Arabidopsis thaliana: one gene and its partners. The protein of the gene in region 1 purifies or fractionates together with the protein of each later gene. This does not show direct contact. Each region holds a gene or a part of one and is shown in the gene's direction. Other genes may lie near its edges. The genes, in order: iPGAM2, AT1G72810, IMD1 and IMD2.

The links.
Region 2: the proteins of iPGAM2 (region 1) and AT1G72810 fractionate together in Arabidopsis thaliana (co-fractionation; one large-scale study listed by BioGRID). This does not show direct contact.
Region 3: the proteins of iPGAM2 (region 1) and IMD1 fractionate together in Arabidopsis thaliana (co-fractionation; one large-scale study listed by BioGRID). This does not show direct contact.
Region 4: the proteins of iPGAM2 (region 1) and IMD2 fractionate together in Arabidopsis thaliana (co-fractionation; one large-scale study listed by BioGRID). This does not show direct contact.

What each region holds. Positions count from the first base shown.
Region 1 is NC_003074.8:2,607,547-2,613,304, reverse strand, and holds iPGAM2 (Phosphoglycerate mutase, 2,3-bisphosphoglycerate-independent), read left to right. Parts: upstream 1-1,749; 5' UTR 1,750-1,975; exon of another isoform or gene 1,976-2,065; 5' UTR 2,066-2,067; coding exon 2,068-2,232; intron 2,233-2,327; coding exon 2,328-2,606; intron 2,607-2,689; coding exon 2,690-2,893; intron 2,894-2,984; coding exon 2,985-3,409; intron 3,410-3,711; coding exon 3,712-3,904; intron 3,905-3,983; coding exon 3,984-4,079; intron 4,080-4,168; coding exon 4,169-4,324; intron 4,325-4,457; coding exon 4,458-4,622; 3' UTR 4,623-4,997; downstream 4,998-5,758. Other genes in the region: AT3G08600 (transmembrane protein, putative (DUF1191)), read right to left, coding at 1-659.
Region 2 is NC_003070.9:27,397,177-27,402,450, reverse strand, and holds AT1G72810 (Pyridoxal-5'-phosphate-dependent enzyme family protein), read left to right. Parts: upstream 1-1,976; 5' UTR 1,977-2,057; coding exon 2,058-2,669; intron 2,670-2,752; coding exon 2,753-3,691; 3' UTR 3,692-4,177; downstream 4,178-5,274. Other genes in the region: AT1G72800 (RNA-binding (RRM/RBD/RNP motifs) family protein), read right to left, coding at 4,178-5,185. UniProt on the Arabidopsis thaliana protein: Catalyzes the gamma-elimination of phosphate from L-phosphohomoserine and the beta-addition of water to produce L-threonine.
Region 3 is NC_003076.8:4,573,969-4,578,947, forward strand, and holds IMD1 (isopropylmalate dehydrogenase 1), read left to right. Parts: upstream 1-2,154; 5' UTR 2,155-2,251; coding exon 2,252-2,480; intron 2,481-2,567; coding exon 2,568-2,697; intron 2,698-2,777; coding exon 2,778-2,889; intron 2,890-2,973; coding exon 2,974-3,138; intron 3,139-3,215; coding exon 3,216-3,302; intron 3,303-3,380; coding exon 3,381-3,497; coding exon of another isoform or gene 3,498-3,499; intron 3,500-3,586; coding exon 3,587-3,694; intron 3,695-3,775; coding exon 3,776-3,982; coding exon of another isoform or gene 3,983-3,994; exon of another isoform or gene 3,995-4,068; coding exon 4,069-4,143; 3' UTR 4,144-4,434; downstream 4,435-4,979. Other genes in the region: MPL1 (Myzus persicae-induced lipase 1), read right to left, coding at 24-143, 245-445; AT5G14210 (Leucine-rich repeat protein kinase family protein), read right to left, coding at 4,535-4,759, 4,857-4,968. UniProt on the Arabidopsis thaliana protein: Involved in both glucosinolate and leucine biosynthesis; catalyzes the oxidative decarboxylation step in both leucine biosynthesis (primary metabolism) and methionine chain elongation of glucosinolates (specialized metabolism).
Region 4 is NC_003070.9:30,286,150-30,291,064, forward strand, and holds IMD2 (isopropylmalate dehydrogenase 2), read left to right. Parts: upstream 1-1,613; 5' UTR 1,614-1,683; coding exon 1,684-1,900; intron 1,901-2,099; coding exon 2,100-2,229; intron 2,230-2,338; coding exon 2,339-2,450; intron 2,451-2,528; coding exon 2,529-2,604; intron 2,605-2,694; coding exon 2,695-2,783; intron 2,784-2,875; coding exon 2,876-2,962; intron 2,963-3,052; coding exon 3,053-3,169; intron 3,170-3,259; coding exon 3,260-3,367; intron 3,368-3,448; coding exon 3,449-3,502; intron 3,503-3,608; coding exon 3,609-3,761; intron 3,762-3,902; coding exon 3,903-3,977; 3' UTR 3,978-4,150; downstream 4,151-4,915. Other genes in the region: AT1G80550 (Pentatricopeptide repeat (PPR) superfamily protein), read right to left, coding at 1-555; AT1G80555 (Isocitrate/isopropylmalate dehydrogenase family protein), read left to right, coding at 857-1,067, 1,140-1,269, 1,344-1,590; AT1G80570 (RNI-like superfamily protein), read left to right, coding at 4,512-4,542, 4,671-4,915. UniProt on the Arabidopsis thaliana protein: Involved in leucine biosynthesis; catalyzes the oxidative decarboxylation step in leucine biosynthesis (primary metabolism). Catalyzes the oxidation of 3-carboxy-2-hydroxy-4-methylpentanoate (3-isopropylmalate, 3-IPM) to 3-carboxy-4-methyl-2-oxopentanoate.

The sequences.
Region 1 (5,758 bases):
GGAGCAGAAGCCACAGATTTCACCACCACAGAGAAATGTCCCTGATGCTCAGTCTCGCATGTGTTTCCAGGCTGAATCGAATCGCTGAAACTCGCTTCACCTTTAGAATCGAATCTAACACACTTAGCACTAGACCCTTGCGGGATTCGTTCCAGATCAGAGAAATCGATTCTGATAGGATCATTAGACACCCTTAAATCAAGCTGAGGCAAATTAAGCGCAGAGAGATTCTTAGCATCGTAAGCGAGAAGACCCAAGACAGGAGCGACATAATCATAACCAGACAAAGGGTAATACAAGTGAGAGAAATTAGCTAGGTTTTGATAAACCAAAACAAGCCTTGTCACATACGGCTTGACGATAACGCCGCTGGGAATTGAGAACTCATTAAAAGGAGTGACTCCACGTTTTCTAAAGCTTCCGCTTCTGAGTCTCATAGCAGCGAGTTTGATCCCAGTCAAATTGGAAGGAACAGTAGTAGCCTCGTAGAGAATGCCGGTACGAGGACGAAGCAAGGCTCTAAAAGAGTAATCTTGAAGAAGAGCATCGAGTGAAGAAGAAGAAGAAGCATTGGGTGAAGAAGATTGAGCAGAGAGCTTTTGTAGACGAAGAGATAGAAACAGAAGCAGCAGCAGCTGGAGACAACGGAGAAACCCCATTGCTTTTTTTTGTTTCTTTCGCCTCTGGAGCAAAAAAAAATCCCCCCAGGGCGAGTCAAAGGTGGGAGACACAGGAATAAAAAGTCGCCGTCACGTCTGAGTAGAAAAAGGGTAAAAAGGGGAAATGGTGAAGAGAAGAACAAATCGAGGAATGAGGGTTAAGGAGCAATGGAGGAAGCTGAGGAGGAGGAGGAGGAGGAGGAGGAGAGAGAATGAATGGTCGCCGGTGGAAAAGAGAGAGAGAGAGAAAGGAGAGAAGGAGAGAGCCAAAAGGACAAAAAGGAGAAGAAGAGTGTTGTCGTCAGTCCCATTTGTTCACAAAAAAAAAAATGATACAGCCTGTTCATCTGATTTTTTCTCCCTTTACACATTAACAAAAATTTAATATTTTGTTTGTTTTTTTTACTTTCCTTTTCGACCAATCATATTGATACATTGCGGCATTCAATTTCGCCGTAACAGTTGTCCGTCTACCTCTTATTGTGTTATCTGTATCTCTCTCTGTATATTTCCCATATATGTATACTGTATGATTCTTTTCTACTTTTGTTTTTGTCTTTCCTTATCCTTGGCCCATTTATCTGACTATGAACCACGTCTCATCTAGTTTCAGGCTTTTTAAGCCCAATATATAGGAACTCAACTTTTTGTCTTTGGCCCATTAGAAATTGTTTTTTAGCCTTCTACCAACCTTTTGAAGGTTCCCAGTTAATATTATGATGATATTGAATAAATAAATGTGCACAACCCTGAATTTCTTACATGAGTTTTCGGTTTGGTTTTCGTGTAATTTCAGTTTGATTTAATGCAATCTCAAGGTTTAAATAATGATTTAGATAAAAAAAAGTTACTGTCAACAGAAATTAATGTAATCCCAGTTACTAAAACTTACCCATTTTTGATCAAATTCTGGTTCAAATACCGTATAAACTATTAAGTTAACTCCGGTTTGACCTTTTCTGTATGCTATTTTTTACGTTGACCAAAATAAAAAGGTATATACAATTTTTTTTACATGGCGCACACCATGACTATTACAAACGGCATGATCCAGAACATTCGTTCATAGCAGCTAAAACTAGAACATTCGTCTCCTTCCATTTTTTTGGGGGCTTCACAATGTTTACTTGAGCCCAAAGTAAAGCCCATTAAATTGGTACCACGTCATCGCTAACTTTTCCATTTCTATGTTTCTATAAAAGTCTCATATTATGTCAGTGATAGCTCTCAACCTACCATACTTCACCACATAACCACTTCTGTCTCTGCGAATCTCCATAAGACTCTTTGAGAAGCTTTCCTCTGTTTCTCCGCTGGTAAGCTTCCGTTATCTCTCTCTCTCTCGCTTCTCAGATCTGTTCCTTAAACCTTTAATTTCTCACCGACGAGTGGATCTGAATCCACAGTTATGGGTAGCTCCGGCGACGTTAACTGGAAACTTGCGGACCACCCCAAGCTTCCCAAAGGCAAAACTATCGGTTTGATTGTTCTCGATGGATGGGGTGAATCTGATCCCGATCAATACAATTGCATCCATAAAGCTCCAACTCCTGCCATGGATTCCCTTAAAGACGTATGTTTCCTTTTTTGTTTATATCCACTTCTTTCCTCGATGATTTCGCTGGATTCCGATTATGGACTTCAACGGTTCGATTTTATTCTTCACAGGGGAAGCCCGACACATGGAGGTTGATCAAAGCTCATGGTACCGCCGTTGGTCTCCCCAGCGAAGACGACATGGGAAACAGTGAAGTTGGCCACAATGCTCTTGGAGCTGGTCGAATTTACGCTCAAGGTGCTAAGCTTGTTGATCTCGCCCTTGCTTCAGGGAAAATCTATGAAGATGAAGGTTTCAAATACATCTCTCAATCTTTTGAGAAAGGCACTGTGCACCTTATTGGTCTTCTAAGCGATGGTGGAGTTCACTCTCGTTTGGATCAAGTCCAGGTACTTAATTCTCATCTGTTACACATTTCTTTTGAAACGTTGGCGTTTGTTAATTTTCTTTAATTTGGTTCTGTTTGGTGCAGTTGCTGCTTAAGGGTTTTGCAGAACGTGGTGCTAAGAGAATCCGCGTCCATATTCTTACTGATGGTCGTGATGTTTTGGATGGTTCTAGTGTCGGATTTGTTGAAACTCTTGAAGCTGACCTAGCTGCTTTACGTGCGAAAGGTGTTGATGCTCAGGTTGCATCTGGTGGAGGTCGAATGTATGTCACAATGGACCGTTATGAGGTAGGCAATGCTTGTGAGATCTTGTATGAATGTCATGCCTTGTCTAGTCTAGTTTAGAAATGAATCCAATTTTTGCTTTCCTTCCTTGCAGAATGATTGGAGTGTTGTTAAACGAGGTTGGGATGCACAAGTCCTTGGGGAAGCTCCCCACAAATTTAAAAGCGCTCTTGAAGCAGTTAAGACACTGAGGGCAGAACCTGGTGCCAATGACCAGTATTTGCCTTCGTTTGTTATTGTTGATGATAATGGAAAGGCTGTGGGTCCAATTGTTGATGGTGACGCAGTTGTTACATTCAATTTCCGTGCTGATCGAATGGTCATGCATGCAAAGGCCCTCGAATACAAAGATTTCGACAAGTTTGATCGCGTACGTGTCCCTGATATACGTTATGCAGGAATGCTCCAATATGATGGAGAGCTTAAGCTTCCTAGCCGCTATCTTGTTTCTCCACCATTGATTGACAGAACTTCTGGTGAATATCTGGCACACAATGGCGTTCGTACTTTTGCTTGCAGGTTAACTTTTAGAATCTCTCAAATCTTTAGTTATTGTCTTTGCCATTTTCTTCTATTGCTGCTTCCTGGTTTATTTATTTGCTGGAATTGGATTCATAATTGAAACTGTGATAAGAGTAATCCAGTCTTCTTTACTTGCTCGGTAGAGGTCTAATTTATGATTGGGGGTTGTTTGTTGATTAAAACTAGTGAAATCTCCTAGCTCACTTTTTCTTGATGAGATTATACCGTTGATGGTTAGTTACATATAATGAATGAATTCTCAGCTATTAACCTATTAAAATTTTATTTCACTGAAACAGTGAGACTGTGAAGTTTGGCCATGTAACCTTCTTCTGGAATGGCAACCGCTCTGGATATTTCAATGAAAAGTTAGAAGAGTACGTTGAGATTCCAAGTGATAGTGGAATATCATTCAATGTCCAGCCAAAGATGAAAGCACTGGAAATTGCCGAGAAAGCAAGGGATGCTATCCTTAGTGGCAAGTTTGACCAGGTAAGGTGTATTCTCTTATCACATTGTATCAACCCATTAAAACAATTGGCTTCTGAGTTTGGTGCCAATGGATTTTCAGGTGCGTGTAAACCTGCCAAATGGAGATATGGTGGGGCATACTGGTGATATTGAAGCAACTGTTGTTGCCTGTGAAGCTGCTGATCGTGCTGTGAGGGTATGATTTCAATAAATTTGTGACATGGGAATGTTAGAAACCGTTCTTAGTAGCAATGACTCACTTAGTTTTGGTGTCCTGGTTTGCAGACAATCCTTGATGCCATAGAACAGGTCGGAGGGATATACGTTGTGACTGCAGATCACGGAAATGCTGAGGACATGGTTAAAAGGGACAAATCCGGCAAGCCTGCTCTCGATAAGGAAGGGAACCTTCAGATTCTTACCTCTCACACCCTTAAACCAGTAAGTTCTAGCACTACTAAAACAGTTCGTGTTATGACCATTGCAACTGAGCATAGATTAAGCATGAGGGGTTGTAATACCAGAAGTGGTTGGTGTATCTTATATGAAATTTGGACATGATGTGTGTGTGCAGGTGCCAATTGCCATAGGAGGTCCTGGCTTGTCAGCAGGAGTTAGGTTTAGACAGGATATCGAGACACCTGGGCTTGCAAATGTAGCTGCGACAGTGATGAACCTCCATGGATTTGTGGCCCCGAGTGACTATGAGACAAGTCTGATCGAAGTCGTCGAGAAGTGATGATTCTTGTTGTTGTAGTTCTTTTTAAAAGTCCCACCTGAGCCTCTATAGACTCTGATTCTCTTTTAAGTTACTATTTTCACCGCTCTCTAATAAGGCTCGTGATTTTTTGGGAGCCATACTGTATACTCGCCGGCCCTCTCACGATGTTGTTCAATTCACAGACTAAATTTGATTTATCTATTTCGCCAAAACATAACTTCATTAAAAAATGTTCTCCAAATAACTAAACGAATTAAATAAAAGAAACCTTTCATGTAAAGTTAAAGGTATGAGACTTTAAGGGCAGTTGCTGAACATTCGTAACACATGGGAGAACAATAGAGAAAGTTGAAAAGAAACGTAGCATATAGAAAAATTATCTTTGTAACCAAGTTGATTTAGAAAAATATCACTATTTGTGAAAAATACTAGATCAGTTTATTATTACTTTTTTTTTTTTTGTATATTCACAAATATCATATTCATATAGAAGAAAATAAACAAAGTTGTAAAAATCTGGCATTTAAAATAAAATTGAACACTTCAATTTATTTCCTTTCATAATAATAATTTTGGCATAAGATATTTGCAAATTGATCTGGTTCGGTATGGTCGACAAAATAATTTTCCACGCTACCCTTCCAGCCGTCCATTCACTATTTGCCCTCAACGTTACCAAATAACGGTCCAGATTCCTAGGGCAAGATCTAACGGTTAGCAAGTAAAGTCGTACCATCAGAAAGAATAACAATTCTTTCACAAAGTAAACATAACCAACGGTTAACAAGTTCTTAGGGTTAAATCAGTAAGATCCAACGGATATTAAATTGCAAGGCCCAAATAGTTTTTTTGCAGCAGATAATAACTCGTCCCCACTGGCGAGTGACGACCGAGACTCTGTGACCCTATTTTTCGAGACGATAAAAGGGCAAACAATCGCTCTTTTCAAAGCTCGCCTCTTCACCACAGAGAAAACTTCGTCTCTCTTCTCTGCTTCGCCCTCTCATTTCCTGTGAGATAAAGGCGGAGTCTCTCTCCAGTTATTTTGCTCATCCATCGATTCTTAGGTATGACTCGTTTCTCTCAGATCTGTGATTCTTTATAATCTCGTCGTTCTTCAAATCATTGTTATATTCGTTTCTTCGATCTGTGTT
Region 2 (5,274 bases), on another chromosome or scaffold:
CGGATAAAGAAAGCGACAAACTGGGAGCACTCTTAGAAGACGAAGAAGATCGACGGCAGAGATAGAAAAAAGCTAAAAGGTCGTCATCGAAAACAACGGCTAAGATCTTGTTCTCGGATCAGACCCAACAGAGGAGAGAGAAAATGGATCCGCTTTTGTGATTTGGATAAGATGACGTGGCGTCCATATCCTTGGGTCGTTGGGCAGAGAAGAGAGCAGAAGGCAGTGTGAGAGGCACGTGATCTGTCACGTGATTTTTGATTCTTTTTCACTGTTACACTTCCACTATCGTTCGAGCTATATTTTTTTTTATGAAAAAAGAATCTAAAGATTTATCAGAGTTCCTCCTAGAGATGCTAAATTTATAGGAACAGTGGTGGTCCTTGGACAATAGTATGATACTACCAAACACCAACAGAAATCATTTTTCTGTCGTTGTATCATTTACTGACATAACTTGATTACAAAAATATAGTATTAATTAGCTTTGGGAGTTTCACATATTTTAGTATCAAATCAAATATACAACAGAAATCAATACTATAGTATTTGGAAATGCCCACTACCTAAACATATACTACATTTCTTTTTCGGTCCACGCTTACTTATTACATCGTTAATCCTTATCTTCAACAGATTAGATGTTAAAGTGAGTAGACAAGCTTAGACTGATTCCAACCATGTGATTTGATTCCAAAAAGAACATTATAGCTGTGATGGGCTTGAGTGACGAACAACACTGTTGGTTCTGTATCAACTGGTGATGACCATTATTTCAGCCCACAACTTGGAGATAAAAGAACCAAATCATAAGCAGTTTCCACAGACTAAAGCACCAACAAAAACTATGGAAAGCTTTTATCGAGCAAAAGATCACGAGTCACAAACATAACAAAAAAGTACACGAATCATGAAATCAAATTTCTCAAGTTCCCTATCAAAACGCTTTAAAATACAGAAAAGGGATCCCTTCTCATTTATTGTGTCGTTCTCTCCCAAACCCCAAAACACTATTACCCAAATTTAGAGAGAACACACAACGGTTAGTTGAGGTATTCAGAGTTTGAATCAATTCTAATTCAAGTCTTTTATTTGAAGTATAAGCTTATTGGGCTGGTTTTTCACAATGACTGTATATTTGACCCAATCCGCCCAATGTGACGAAAAGGAGGACCCATAACTAGTGGTGTCCTTTACTTTCTTTTTCTTTTCCAAAAACGTTAAGATCATAAACTCCATACCTATATACATTAATATGAACTATGAAGTGTCGTCTACTTTGTATGAATGTTGCTCTCATAGTCTCATCTCATTATTTATTTTTGTCCTTTAAAATGACAAAAAGATAGTGACATTTATTATTTATTTTTTGTTTCCGTCGCTTGTAATATATTTATTTGATTAATAAAATGGGACGAAATCACAAATATATATTAGAAGAACAAAGAACAATAGATACAAATAATAGTAACATTATATTTTACTCATAAGAATATACTTCATGTGTGGCACATGTCTCATGTAGTCCATACATTCGTGTTTTTTTTTGTTGTTGCATATTTGATATCTTAAACACTAAAATTTACACATGATTCATGAATGTCAAAGATTCATTTCTCCCTAGTGCTTCTTTCTCTACCATCAAAAGAAAATTCATGACTAATAATCCATACAAATAATAGTAACATTTTACTCATAAGAATATACTTCATGTGTGGCACATGTCTCATGTACTCCATACATACGTGTTTTTTTTTTTTTTTTGCATATTTGATATCTTAAACACTAAATTCACACTAGATTCATGAACGTCAAAGATTCATTTCTCCCTGGTGCTTTCTCTACCATCAAAAGAAAATTCATGACTAGAGAGATATATACATAATTTGGAAATTGGAATGACAAATGAAAAACAAACAATAAATGAATACTTTCGTCCCAATATTTATTAGGTTATAAATAAATTACTTGTGACTTGTGACTAAAGGTGTCAACAATCATTCTTCTATCCAATCAATATCATCAAACTCTTCACTTTACTCTCTCTCTCACTCATAATGGCCTCATTCTCTCTTCCCCACTCCGCCACCTACTTTCCTTCCCACTCTGAAACCTCACTTAAACCTCACTCCGCCGCTTCCTTCACCGTCCGTTGCACCTCCGCCTCTCCCGCCGTTCCTCCACAGACTCCACAGAAACCCCGTCGTTCACCCGATGAGAACATTCGAGACGAAGCTCGTCGCCGTCCTCATCAACTCCAAAACCTCTCCGCACGTTACGTCCCTTTCAACGCTCCACCTTCTTCAACAGAATCCTACTCCCTCGACGAGATCGTCTACCGTTCACAATCCGGTGCTCTCCTCGACGTCCAGCATGATTTCGCCGCCTTGAAACGCTACGACGGAGAATTCTGGCGTAACCTTTTCGATTCTCGCGTCGGTAAAACAAATTGGCCGTACGGATCAGGCGTGTGGTCGAAGAAAGAGTGGGTACTCCCCGAGATCGACGATGACGACATCGTCTCTGCTTTTGAAGGAAACTCAAATCTCTTCTGGGCTGAGAGATTTGGTAAACAGTATCTGCAAATGAACGATCTTTGGGTGAAACATTGTGGAATCAGCCACACTGGCTCCTTTAAAGATCTGGGCATGAGTGTTCTCGTTTCTCAGGTGAATCATCTTTCATAAAGTTTACAACTGTATAACCATCTTCAATAAAGTTTACAACTTTATGTTATTTTTTTGTTTCTCAGGTGAATCGTCTCCGGAAAATGAACAAACCAGTCATCGGAGTTGGTTGCGCTTCTACTGGAGATACCTCCGCTGCTCTCTCTGCTTACTGTGCTTCCGCTGGAATCCCCTCGATTGTCTTCTTACCTGCGGATAAAATCTCCATGGCTCAGCTTGTGCAGCCGATTGCAAACGGAGCGTTTGTGCTTAGTATTGACACTGATTTTGACGGATGTATGCATTTGATCAGAGAAGTTACGGCGGAGCTTCCTATTTACTTGGCGAACTCTCTCAACAGCCTCCGTCTCGAAGGTCAAAAGACGGCGGCGATTGAGATTCTGCAGCAGTTTAATTGGCAAGTTCCTGATTGGGTCATTGTTCCTGGAGGCAATCTTGGTAACATCTATGCGTTTTACAAAGGGTTTCATATGTGTAAAGAGTTAGGTCTTGTTGATCGTATCCCTAGGCTTGTTTGTGCTCAAGCTGCTAATGCAAATCCACTTTACTTGCATTACAAATCTGGGTTTAAAGAAGATTTCAATCCATTGAAAGCAAACACTACATTTGCTTCTGCTATTCAGATTGGTGACCCTGTTTCGATTGATAGAGCTGTGTATGCGTTGAAGAAATCTAATGGGATTGTTGAGGAAGCTACAGAGGAAGAGTTGATGGATGCAACAGCTCTTGCTGATTCTACTGGTATGTTTATATGTCCACATACTGGTGTTGCATTGACGGCGTTGATGAAGCTGAGAAAGTCAGGAGTTATTGGAGCGAATGATCGGACTGTGGTGGTGAGTACAGCTCATGGATTGAAGTTTACACAAAGTAAGATTGATTATCATTCTAAGAACATAAAGGAGATGGCTTGTAGATTGGCGAATCCACCAGTGAAGGTTAAGGCAAAGTTTGGTTCAGTTATGGATGTTCTCAAGGAGTATTTGAAGAGCAATGATAAATAAGCTTTGTGTGTTTGTTTCTTCTAAAGCTCTTCACGTCCTATGATGATATTGTTGGCTTTGTTATTAGAGGAAGTAATGAAATTTCGTTTCTTTGGACTTGTGGAATAAAACGACTGGTTGGTTCCGTGATGCTCGCTAGTTGTTTCATATCAAACTACTACTGAGTTTTACATATGCTCTTAACAAAAGTACTCACGACCTGTCTTTTAACCTCTTCTTTTAAATCTTTTAAGAAACAATAAACTTATCTAGAAAATTAACTTCAAGAATTTTTTTCATCTTATTTAAAACCAAAAGAACTCAAAATTGAGTTAACATTAACATTGGGTCAAAAACTTAACTAGAACATAAGAAAAAACTCCCAAGTAATACAAATTTAAAACGTTCCTCTTCTTCTAGGTAGTCTTCTTACTTTAGGGAGTAAAACTAGGTGATCTAGTTCCACGAGCAGTCTCTTCCTTCATGCACTACCAAAGGTTCAAGCCTTCAACAGAAGGTACAACGGCCCTGATTACCACAACGGCCAGGAAAAGGCCAAGTACTTCCACTGCGAATCGGTTCAGCCTTACCAACTACAAGATCCCATCCTCCCACGTCATGTCTACCAAGTTCCAACGCCTTCTCTGCTCCTTCTTTCAGATCAATGTAAGCATATCCTAAGGAACCACCGGTTCCGTGGCTTGGGGGAACAAATACGCGTGTGATCTCCCCAAAAGAACTGAAATATTTACTCAATGCGCTCTTTATATCATCCACAGGAAGGGAAGCGTCAAATCCCGTAACAGAGAACGATCGACCATTGACACCAACAGAAAATAAAGAATCTTTAGCAGCTGGCTTGACACCAACAGAGAATAAAGAATCTGGCTTGAAACCAGCAGAGAATAAAGAATCTTTAGCAGCTGGCTCGAAACCAGCAGAGAATAAAGAACCTGGCTTGAAACCAGCAGAGAATAAAGAATCTTTAGCAGCTGGCTCGAAACCAGCAGAGAATAAAGAATCTGGCTTGAAACCAGCAGAGAATAAAGAATCTTTAGCAGCTGGCTTGAAACCAGCAGAGAATAAAGAATCTTTAGTAGCTGGCTTGGCGGCACTTGCAGCAGGTTTGTTTACAGGTTCCTCAGCAGAAGACGATTCATCCTCCGAAGAAGTGTCCATGTATGAGTCATCGCTCTCAGAAGAAGCCTTAGCAGAAGTCTTCATGGCAGGAACTTTCTCACCCTTGGCTGAGATGAGAAGCTCCTGTATATCCGCCTTTATTGCCAACAAATCCGCCTTTGTTACCAACAAATCCACCTTTGCTTCGAGACGCTGAAGACGATCAGCGAATTCTTTGATCATCTCCTTCTCATCAAGGTTTTTCAAGACGGATACTTTCGTGATCTCCGTCTGATCAGATTCTTCCTTCTCGGAAGGAGAAATCACGTCTTTGGCCTTAATCATAGCAGGAGCTGCTTCAACTGTGGTTGCGGATAACTTGCTAGACTCAGCCATGGAGAAGATGACAAGAAAAGAGAAAGAGCGATTTTAGGTTTTCGAGAGACAATAATCCAAGCCTGTTGTTTAAGATATATATATTAGGT
Region 3 (4,979 bases), on another chromosome or scaffold:
AGGTAAGGAAGAGTAAAACTTACGACAAGAATTCCATGTTGTATTAGGACAGGTTGTCTCTTTCCCCCATCTCCGGCGACGGCTCCGGCTCGTCCTTCCGGTATCCTTTGCATATTCAATATGTACCCATCTTGAGTCACCACCTTCATAATTTAACAATTAAAATAGCAGCTTTATCAGTTAATATATCGATGAGTAATCATCATCAATAGCTATATAGAAAAAAAAAGAATGTCGTACGTACATCATGTTCTTCGCACTTGTAACCAAATATGTGAACAGAAGAAGCGCATATGCCGCCGGCAGCAGTCCTCTGCGGTGGCTGTCCGGCAAGCCTGCCGAAGGTTCCACGAGCTTCAAGGGTCTTGAGGGAAAGAGCGAAGAAGATTAAGACAGATAAGGCTAAACCGATTGAAACGGACGGAACCATAACCGAACCGGCCATTGAGATATATATAGGGGTTATCACGTACGTTTATAGGAAAGTGAAAATGGTTTTATATAGAGAGAAGGGGTGACGGATAAGATAATAGAAAATGGAATTATTAGCTATTTATAAAAATGCAAAACCACGTTAGCAACTATGGATAGACAAAAACTTATTTAGAAAAAAAAACAATTTATGGTGTGTAAACATAAATTAAGAATTGAATCATGCACAAAAAATAAGACAAGCATTTATGAATAGTTTCTAGAAGTGGTGAATCATCCACTGCTATCGTCGATACAACATTTACTAAAGTTTCTATATATAAGTGGAGGGATGATCAGTGTGACCATGCCATGATTTCTAACTTTTTTGAGAGAGCGAGGTTATTATGATAAACATTTAAAATAATACGTGGAACTGAGATGAATGGAAAATAATCTTTATAAAAGAGAAAAAAAAAAATAGAAGATCTCATGATAATAAAAGTACTTCCATATGTTTTCAATGTGAAGAAAAGAATAGTAAAGGAGATACATCCAATAGCTTAGTCTAGAAAAGAGCTGACTAATTTTTTTTAAAAACAAGATCTCTGGTTTGTATATTTGTATCGATTACACAGCCTAGATATATAAAACACAAAACTTGATGGAGACAATTTCATATCCTATATATACACATTAATTTAATGAGTGAATAGTAATAGCAACTAGCAAGGCAATCTAAACAAAATTAAGAAAAGAAAAATGTTAAATTCCTGAGATCTATAATAACTCATAAGCAAAAAATATATTTAAAAAAATCATACAAATGTTGTAATAATATCATTTTGTTTTAATGTGGAGTGATAAAAAGAAGATAGGACGAAAGAAGAAACTGTTAAAGGCGATTGTAGATGCTGTAGGGACGGATAAATGGACTATGACATCAGTTTCCGTTACTTGTTTCTTCTCGAACTCAAAGAAGAAAGAAAAAAAAAAAAAAAATTCTACATCGGTACGCTTTCGTTTCACACCCTGCATGCACACAGTGTCCGGTAGTCAAAAATACAAAAAAAAGAAAAAAAACCTCGAGACATGCTAAATTTGGATAATGATTAATAATTTGGGGGTACACAATGTTCCAAATAATTTATATACAAAGTCTTGCTTTCATATTATTTGTGTGTCCACACTTCAACAATATAGTATTATACTATTATCCCTATCCCCTATGAAGTATGAACACACTTTTTATGATACGTATCATATTCAGAAAACATCAAAAATTGGTCATAACTCTCACGTGGTGTGGTGGATTTGCCTCGCCTTTCGTTTCTGTTTTTTGCAAATATTTAAGAATCTTTGGTCATTTAGGCTTTAATTTAGTTACTTTAAATTTATTTTTGTTATAGAAGTATTATGTTAAAAACAGTTCGTGTTCATCCTTGGACTAACCAGACGATTTGACAAAATCCGAATATCCGATCATAAAATTAAATAATCAGCCGTTATTGTTCCTCTACTACTACGTTTTAACTTTTAAGAACTTCTCCTGGTACTTTGATGGGCTATAAGAGCGGCCCAATATTTCGACTTTAAAATGGGCCAATCTTTGGTAAAGGCCCAATTATAGTGGCGCTTCTTCTTCTTCTTTTCCTAAACAAGCAATGGCATGGTTTAGCTGGTGAGCCAGTTTATAGGTAAAAAGGATAATTTAAGCCATTTAAAAAAACAAATCTTTAATGGCGTAATTCAAAAAACGTGCACACCTATCTAAGTACCAAACTCTTTATGTTATATAACTATTGTGACACAATTTCAAATTTGCTAACTCCCAAAAAAAATGGCGGCGTTTTTGCAAACGAACATCAGTCTGAATGCGATCAAGATCGTCCCGGGGAAATACAGTTCTCTCACCGATCATCAGTTTCGTGCGCCGTATCGAATTAGGTGCGCCGCCGCTTCACCTGGGAAAAAACGGTATAACATCGCTCTGCTTCCCGGAGACGGTATCGGTCCAGAAGTTATCTCTGTTGCTAAGAATGTGCTTCAGAAAGCTGGATCTCTCGAAGGTTCTTTCTCTTTCTCAATGGTTTTTGGAAACAACGAGTGTGTTTGCTTAGCCAGTAGATGATTGTGTCTTTGCTTTTGTATCACAGGACTGGAGTTTGATTTCAAGGAGATGCCTGTCGGAGGAGCAGCCTTGGATTTGGTTGGAGTTCCATTGCCGGAGGAAACTTTCACGGCTGCAAAACTATCTGATGCCATTCTTCTTGGAGCTATTGGAGGGTATGTGTGTGAGTGCTGTTTCTTTAGCAATCTGCTTCCAAATTTATTCTGATCTTGAGGTTTGGATGATTATTGTTCAGGTACAAATGGGACAAGAATGAGAAACATCTGAGACCTGAGATGGCTCTGTTTTACCTTAGAAGAGATCTCAAAGTCTTTGCTAATTTGAGACCTGCTACAGTTTTGCCACAGGTATCTTCGGTTTTGATTTGCTTAGCACTTGAATTTTGCTTCTAGTTGTAAATAAACTCAAATGTTTCTGTTTTGCTTGTTCAGCTAGTTGATGCTTCCACACTGAAGAAAGAAGTAGCAGAAGGTGTTGATATGATGATTGTTAGGGAGCTCACAGGAGGTATTTACTTTGGAGAGCCAAGAGGCATTACGATCAATGAAAATGGCGAAGAAGTCGGCGTTAGTACAGAGATCTACGCTGCTCACGAGGTAATAACCCTTCACACTGTGCTCTGTGACAATATTGGCAATGTATGGATATTAATGCATTGATTTATGTTCTTCAGATTGACAGAATTGCTCGTGTAGCATTCGAGACTGCTAGGAAAAGGCGTGGCAAACTTTGTTCTGTTGACAAAGCCAATGTGTTGGATGTACGTTCTGTTAGTTCACTGAATTGTTTTTCCACTTTTGTGTGTTTTACGAAATGCAAATTTCTTTGTTTCATGTAGGCATCAATATTGTGGAGGAAAAGAGTAACAGCTTTAGCCTCTGAATATCCAGATGTTGAACTATCACATATGTATGTCGATAATGCTGCAATGCAGCTTATTCGTGACCCGAAACAGGTGCTTCTCGCACATATATCAAACTTAGTCGTTGATTAAGCTAACTCAGAAGTGGAACTAGTACTCACGGTGTTTTTAAAACAATGCAGTTTGACACAATCGTTACCAATAACATTTTTGGTGATATATTGTCTGATGAAGCTTCAATGATCACTGGAAGCATTGGAATGCTTCCATCTGCTAGTCTCGGTGAATCGGTAAACAAAATTAACTAACATCTTTCAAGGCTCCTCCTGTTTATAAACTAATGCGAAATGTTAAACTTGTGATGAAATCAGGGACCTGGACTCTTTGAACCTATACATGGTTCAGCACCAGATATAGCTGGACAAGACAAGGCAAACCCATTGGCCACCATTCTCAGCGCGGCGATGCTTCTGAAGTATGGACTTGGAGAAGAAAAGGCTGCAAAGAGGATTGAAGACGCTGTCGTGGATGCTCTGAACAAAGGGTTCAGAACCGGAGACATCTACTCCCCTGGAAATGTATGTGCATGATGATTCTTATCATTTGTTTTGTACAAGTTCGTAACAAAATACTTAAAAAAGTCTTTTGTGTTTTGAAAATGCAGAAACTGGTGGGATGCAAGGAAATGGGTGAGGAGGTTCTCAAATCAGTGGAATCCAAAGTTCCAGCTACTGTTTAAGTTTATTGATGATTTGAAGCACTTGAAAAAGTTTGTGTAGCACTTGGTTTTACGGTCACTTATATGCTAATCCATGCAACATTGTACCTTTTATAATAAATAAATTATTTGGGATCGATTCTGCAATTCAAAGACAAGATTCTCCAAAAACATTTGACAGGTCTCCTGCCTTTACTTACCTTGTTCTTGAAGATTGAGAATTTCTCTTCAACTACAAGACTCAATATCTTCTTCAATCAATATTTGTTTAACGAAATAAGTTTCAAGAGAAGACAAGCTACTATGATTTTTAGTCTCAAGAGTCTTACATTTTTATACTGAAAACCAAACTTATAGAGCTTTACATTTAGAAAACCGAAAAAACTATCAATCATTAGGTTAGCCTTTGGATTCACGACGACGTATCAGATTTGCGTTCAGCGTCTGCGGCAGACTGCATTTGAGCTGCGTATTGTAAGTTCCAGAGAACATCTTCAAAGGAAGGTCTTGCGGAAGGTTCAAGCAAAACACATTTATTGGCGATTGAGATCGCAATCGATAAAGACTCCTGCGAGCTTGTTGTTAGGACTGTTGGACTTACTATTTTCTGCCGACCGTCTTGGCTCCCAAATGATGTCTGCAAACACAACATTGCAGCAACAGCTATTAACCAAATTTGTTTCAATCAAATAACAATGATGATGCTTTTTTTTTTTGCTTTTTCTCTTTGTTACCATTTCGTTGAGAAGAAAAGCCTCTCCTTTTGTAGTGGGCACTGGTCCTATCAGAGATTCCAGAAGTATGAATCCGAAGTTGTACACATCGTCCTCTCTTTTAGCCTTTTTCCTGCATAATCT
Region 4 (4,915 bases), on another chromosome or scaffold:
ACTAAAACCATTACCAATGACATTCTTCCCAAAACAAAGCTCTTCAGCTTCAACCACATGTTTATGCTCGCAAAGCGCATCGACCAGATTATAAAATGATGTTTCATCTCTCAAATTGAAATCATCCAATTTATCATACGCATCAATAGCCTCCTGAACAAGATGAGCCGTCACATAACGCTTAAAGACTATACGAAACGTGACGTGATTCGGCACAGATTCCGTGTTTCCGATCATGCGGTTAATCAAAGCCCAAGAAATTTCAAACTCGAAATACTTACCCAGAATATCGATCACCCGATTGAATGTCTCGGTGGTATGTCTGAATCCGGATTCTCTCTCGACCCAGTTGAAAAACTCCAACGCCTTTTGCCAATCGTTGCTGTAACATGTGAGAGCTTCGCATACTGTTTTCTGATCGTAACTGGACTGATCTTCTTCTTCCTGAGATCGAAACTTCGCATCATCGACATTTGAAATAGGTTTTACTGACAGAAGCCGAACGGAGTAAGGGGAAGCAATCCGAACTCGATTGAGTCGCCGCAACAAGAGCATTCTCTTGTTTCCCCTCTCCGCTCCCTGTACACACGAAATTAGGGTTCATCATCTAACGGGCGAATTTTGACCCGAATACCCATTTTAAAATCTGACCCGAATACCATTTATGGGCCCAAAGCCCGCTGGACTTGTGTTAATATTTGGAACATTTGGGCCGATCTATCTTCTACGAATCTTTCTTAGGCCCATCATAATTGAGCCATCCAGAGGTGAAAATAAATAATCGAACGGTTAATATTGGTTTGATTATAAACACAAAAGTTCTTTCCAGGTCTCCTTGTAGTCTTTGTTGTAGTAAATGGCGGGAGTCATCCACGTCAGCAGTACCCAGATTCCGGTTGCGTTTATGTCCGCAACCAAACAGAGCTTTAGGAGAGCTTCTGTGATCAGATGTGCCGCCAACACTCCAAAGAAACGGTACACCATCGCGGTTCTTCCCGGCGATGGCGTCGGTAACGAAGTGATCCCAGTCGCTGTTGACGTTCTTTGTTTAGCTGGGTCTCTTGAAGGTTCCTTCTTTCTCATCCTGTTGCCTAATTTAATTTGATTTTCCCAACTGAAATCGTGTTTTTGGATATCAGGGATAGATTTTAGCTTCGAGGAGTTGCCTATAGGAGGTGTTGCTTTAGATCTTGTCGGAGTTCCACTGCCTAAGGAAACATTGATCAGGGCAAAGCAATCAGACGCTCTTCTTCTCGGAGCTGTTGGATGGTATGGTATTATTACCATAACTTTCGTTCATCTCAAGTTTGGATTCATCTAAAGTTTGGATTTTTGAATTGAAGGCCGAAATGGGATAACAATCCCAAGCATTTGAAGCCGATAACGGCCTTGTTGCAGCTTCGTGCGGCTCTTCAAGTATTTGATGAGCCCTCCTTCTTCTGTGAGGTGCTGCTAATAAATGGATATATATATATATATATATATATATATATATATGTTGTATGTGGTAATGTAAGGTGTCCATTTACAAAATTAAAAACTTTGGGGTCAATTCTGAAAATAAAACAATGTGCAAAAAAGGACCCATAAATGCAAAGAAGTAAAGTCTGAGTGTACTAGTAGTATCCATTTGACTTGCGGTTTCAAAATCCGAAAAAGACCAATCAATCCTTTCTCCCTGAAATGGCGGCGGCTCTGCAGACGAATATCCGGACGGTCAAGGTTCCGGCTACGTTCAGAGCTGTAAGTAAACAGTCATTGGCACCCTTTAGAGTAAGATGTGCTGTTGCTTCCCCTGGTAAAAAACGATACACCATCACTCTCCTTCCCGGAGACGGCATCGGTCCGGAGGTTGTCTCCATTGCCAAAAATGTGCTTCAGCAAGCTGGATCTTTGGAAGGTTCTCTCTCTCTCTCTTGTTCCCTTTCTTATTTAATTTAGTTGCTGTTTCATTTCAATTGGGGACTACTGTTTTCTGCTTGGAATTGAAAGATGTGAGCATTAGAAATTGGCGAGATTTTGAATGGGATTTACAATCGTGGGTTGGGCTCAAAGGCCACGGAGATTGCCTAATACATTGCGTCTGTGCTCTGTATCAGGAGTGGAATTTAACTTCCGTGAGATGCCCATTGGAGGAGCTGCTTTGGATTTGGTCGGAGTGCCCTTGCCGGAGGAGACTATCTCAGCTGCAAAAGAATCAGATGCAGTGCTTCTTGGAGCCATTGGAGGGTCTGTCTTCTCTCTTTTCCCACTAATCTTGTTGGCTCTTAATTATTGTTTTGGGAAATACAGTTTCTCATTTAGTCATTTTCTCATGTTGGTATAATAATAACTTAAGGTACAAATGGGATAACAATGAAAAACATCTGAGGCCTGAGAAGGGGTTACTTCAGATTCGTGCAGCTCTCAAAGTCTTTGCAAATCTGAGACCTGCTACAGTCCTCCCACAGGTGACCATCCTCAGAGATTTCTTGGTTGCCTGAACTTTGTTTCTTGTGTGAAACTCTAATTTTGTTGTTTTTATACAGTTAGTGGATGCTTCCACCTTAAAGAGAGAGGTAGCAGAAGGTGTTGATCTAATGGTTGTAAGGGAGCTTACAGGAGGTCAGTTTTATTACTTATTAAAAATTGATCGTAATTCTTGTCTTTCTCGTGTGACAATATCTTATAAAATGTCATGTCTCATGGTAACAGGTATTTACTTTGGAGAGCCAAGGGGCATAAAGACCAATGAAAATGGCGAGGAAGTTGGGTTTAATACTGAGGTTTATGCTGCTCACGAGGTACTCTATTGAAAATCTCAGATGCAGATTTCCGTGGACTGATTGTTAAGTACTAGGGTCAAATCTAATAAAGCATTTTGTATGTTCGTCAGATTGATAGAATTGCTCGTGTTGCCTTCGAGACTGCTCGGAAACGGCGTGGCAAGCTGTGTTCTGTTGACAAAGCTAATGTTTTGGAAGTGCGGTTGATAATTATGTTTTCTTTGACTTGTTTTCCTCTCTCTTGTTTCCTGTGGAACGAACATAACACTGAATTTTTTTATATGCAGGCCTCAATCTTATGGAGGAAACGAGTAACAGCATTAGCCTCTGAATATCCTGATGTTGAGCTGTCACATATGTATGTTGACAATGCCGCGATGCAGCTTGTTCGTGACCCAAAACAGGTACGTGTACTTTGTATTTGCCAAACTAGTCAGCTTTGATGTGCGACAGGTGTAAATCCTTGCAATTATTTGATTGTTTGATAAATGCAGTTTGACACCATCGTCACAAACAACATTTTTGGTGATATATTATCCGATGAAGCTTCAATGATCACAGGAAGCATAGGAATGCTGCCATCTGCTAGTCTCAGTGATTCGGTATGATATAAAATAATATGATCTTTTAGTATGCAAGCAGTATGATCTAGTCTGAACATAAACCCGCCATGTGTAATACAGGGACCTGGACTCTTTGAACCTATACATGGTTCTGCACCTGATATTGCTGGACAGGTTCTAACTCTATCCTTCAAACAAACACGGTTTTTGTTCCCTGATATCAAAACTAGTTTAATGCCAAAATCAAAGAGCACAACTTGTTGATTCTTTGAATTTTCAGGATAAGGCAAACCCATTGGCAACCATTCTAAGCGCTGCAATGCTTCTGAAATACGGACTTGGAGAAGAAAAGGCAGCCAAGAGAATTGAAGACGCAGTGTTGGTTGCTCTGAACAACGGATTCAGAACTGGAGACATATACTCCGCGGGAACAGTATGTTTCTTGAACCACTCTTATAACATGTTTCCTTTTCCTTAAAAACGTCCCGAGTTAGTGTTTGAGAAACGTTTAAACAAGCAGGCAACAACAAACAGTAGTAATATTTTTTTGTCTTTTTGTATGGGGTATGATCAGAAACTGGTGGGCTGCAAGGAGATGGGAGAGGAGGTTCTGAAGTCAGTGGACTCCCAAGTTCCAGCTTCTGTTTAATATTTGTAGAAACTTTGAAGAGTTCATTTCCAACAACAAATGTTGTACCTTGTACTCAAAGAGTCTCGGTTTTATTAGCGATTTTTATAATGTGAGATTATTAGAGGGACTTATTTGATCGAACTGAAACGTTGATGTTTTTTTCTGAGAAATAAATATCCTTGTGGAGATAATGACGTGTCAGAGTATCACTCAAAAAGCCAAAAATTAGAGAGACAAAAAAGATTCAATCTCCCCCGTAGTCCTTATCCGGCGCCGAGTGTGGTCAAACGTCGCAAGAGTTTTCGCTCTTTCCGGTGAGATCTTTTTCCTCTGATTTCTGTTTCATGGCAAGCCTACTTTTAGAGCTGAGTTTAATCGATGAATCAAGGATGTGAATTTTTGTTATTTCTTGATTATTCATTATTATGTTCAAGAAATCTAAATCTCTGCTTGGGAACTAATTCACAATTTAGACATCTCTGATGAGTTTTTCCTCTGTTTTTTATTTCTATCTTATCAATTTTGTTTCTGGAAATTTTCATGGCTTTTTGAATGTTCATTGGGATTGCGTATCTTGGTGGTGGTAAGTAAAAAGTCAAACGCCTTCGTTTTTCTGCATAATCTCTGAGTTCCATCAAAGCTCTGTTTTGTGTTTTCAAGGTGGACTTTTCACTTGACATGTTAGGCTTTGATCCTTTTTTGTTCACACAGATAGACAAATGGATGAATTGCCAGACCATTTGGTTTGGGACATTCTCAGTAAGCTTCATACTACCGATGACAGAAACTCGCTTTCACTCTCATGCAAACGTTTCTTCTCGCTGGACAACGAGCAAAGATACTCTCTGCGGATTGGTTGCGGTTTAGTTCCTGCATCCGATGCATTGCTTTCTCTCTGCAGGAGGTTTCCAAATCTTTCCAAAGTGGAGATTATATACTCAGGCTGGATGTCAAAA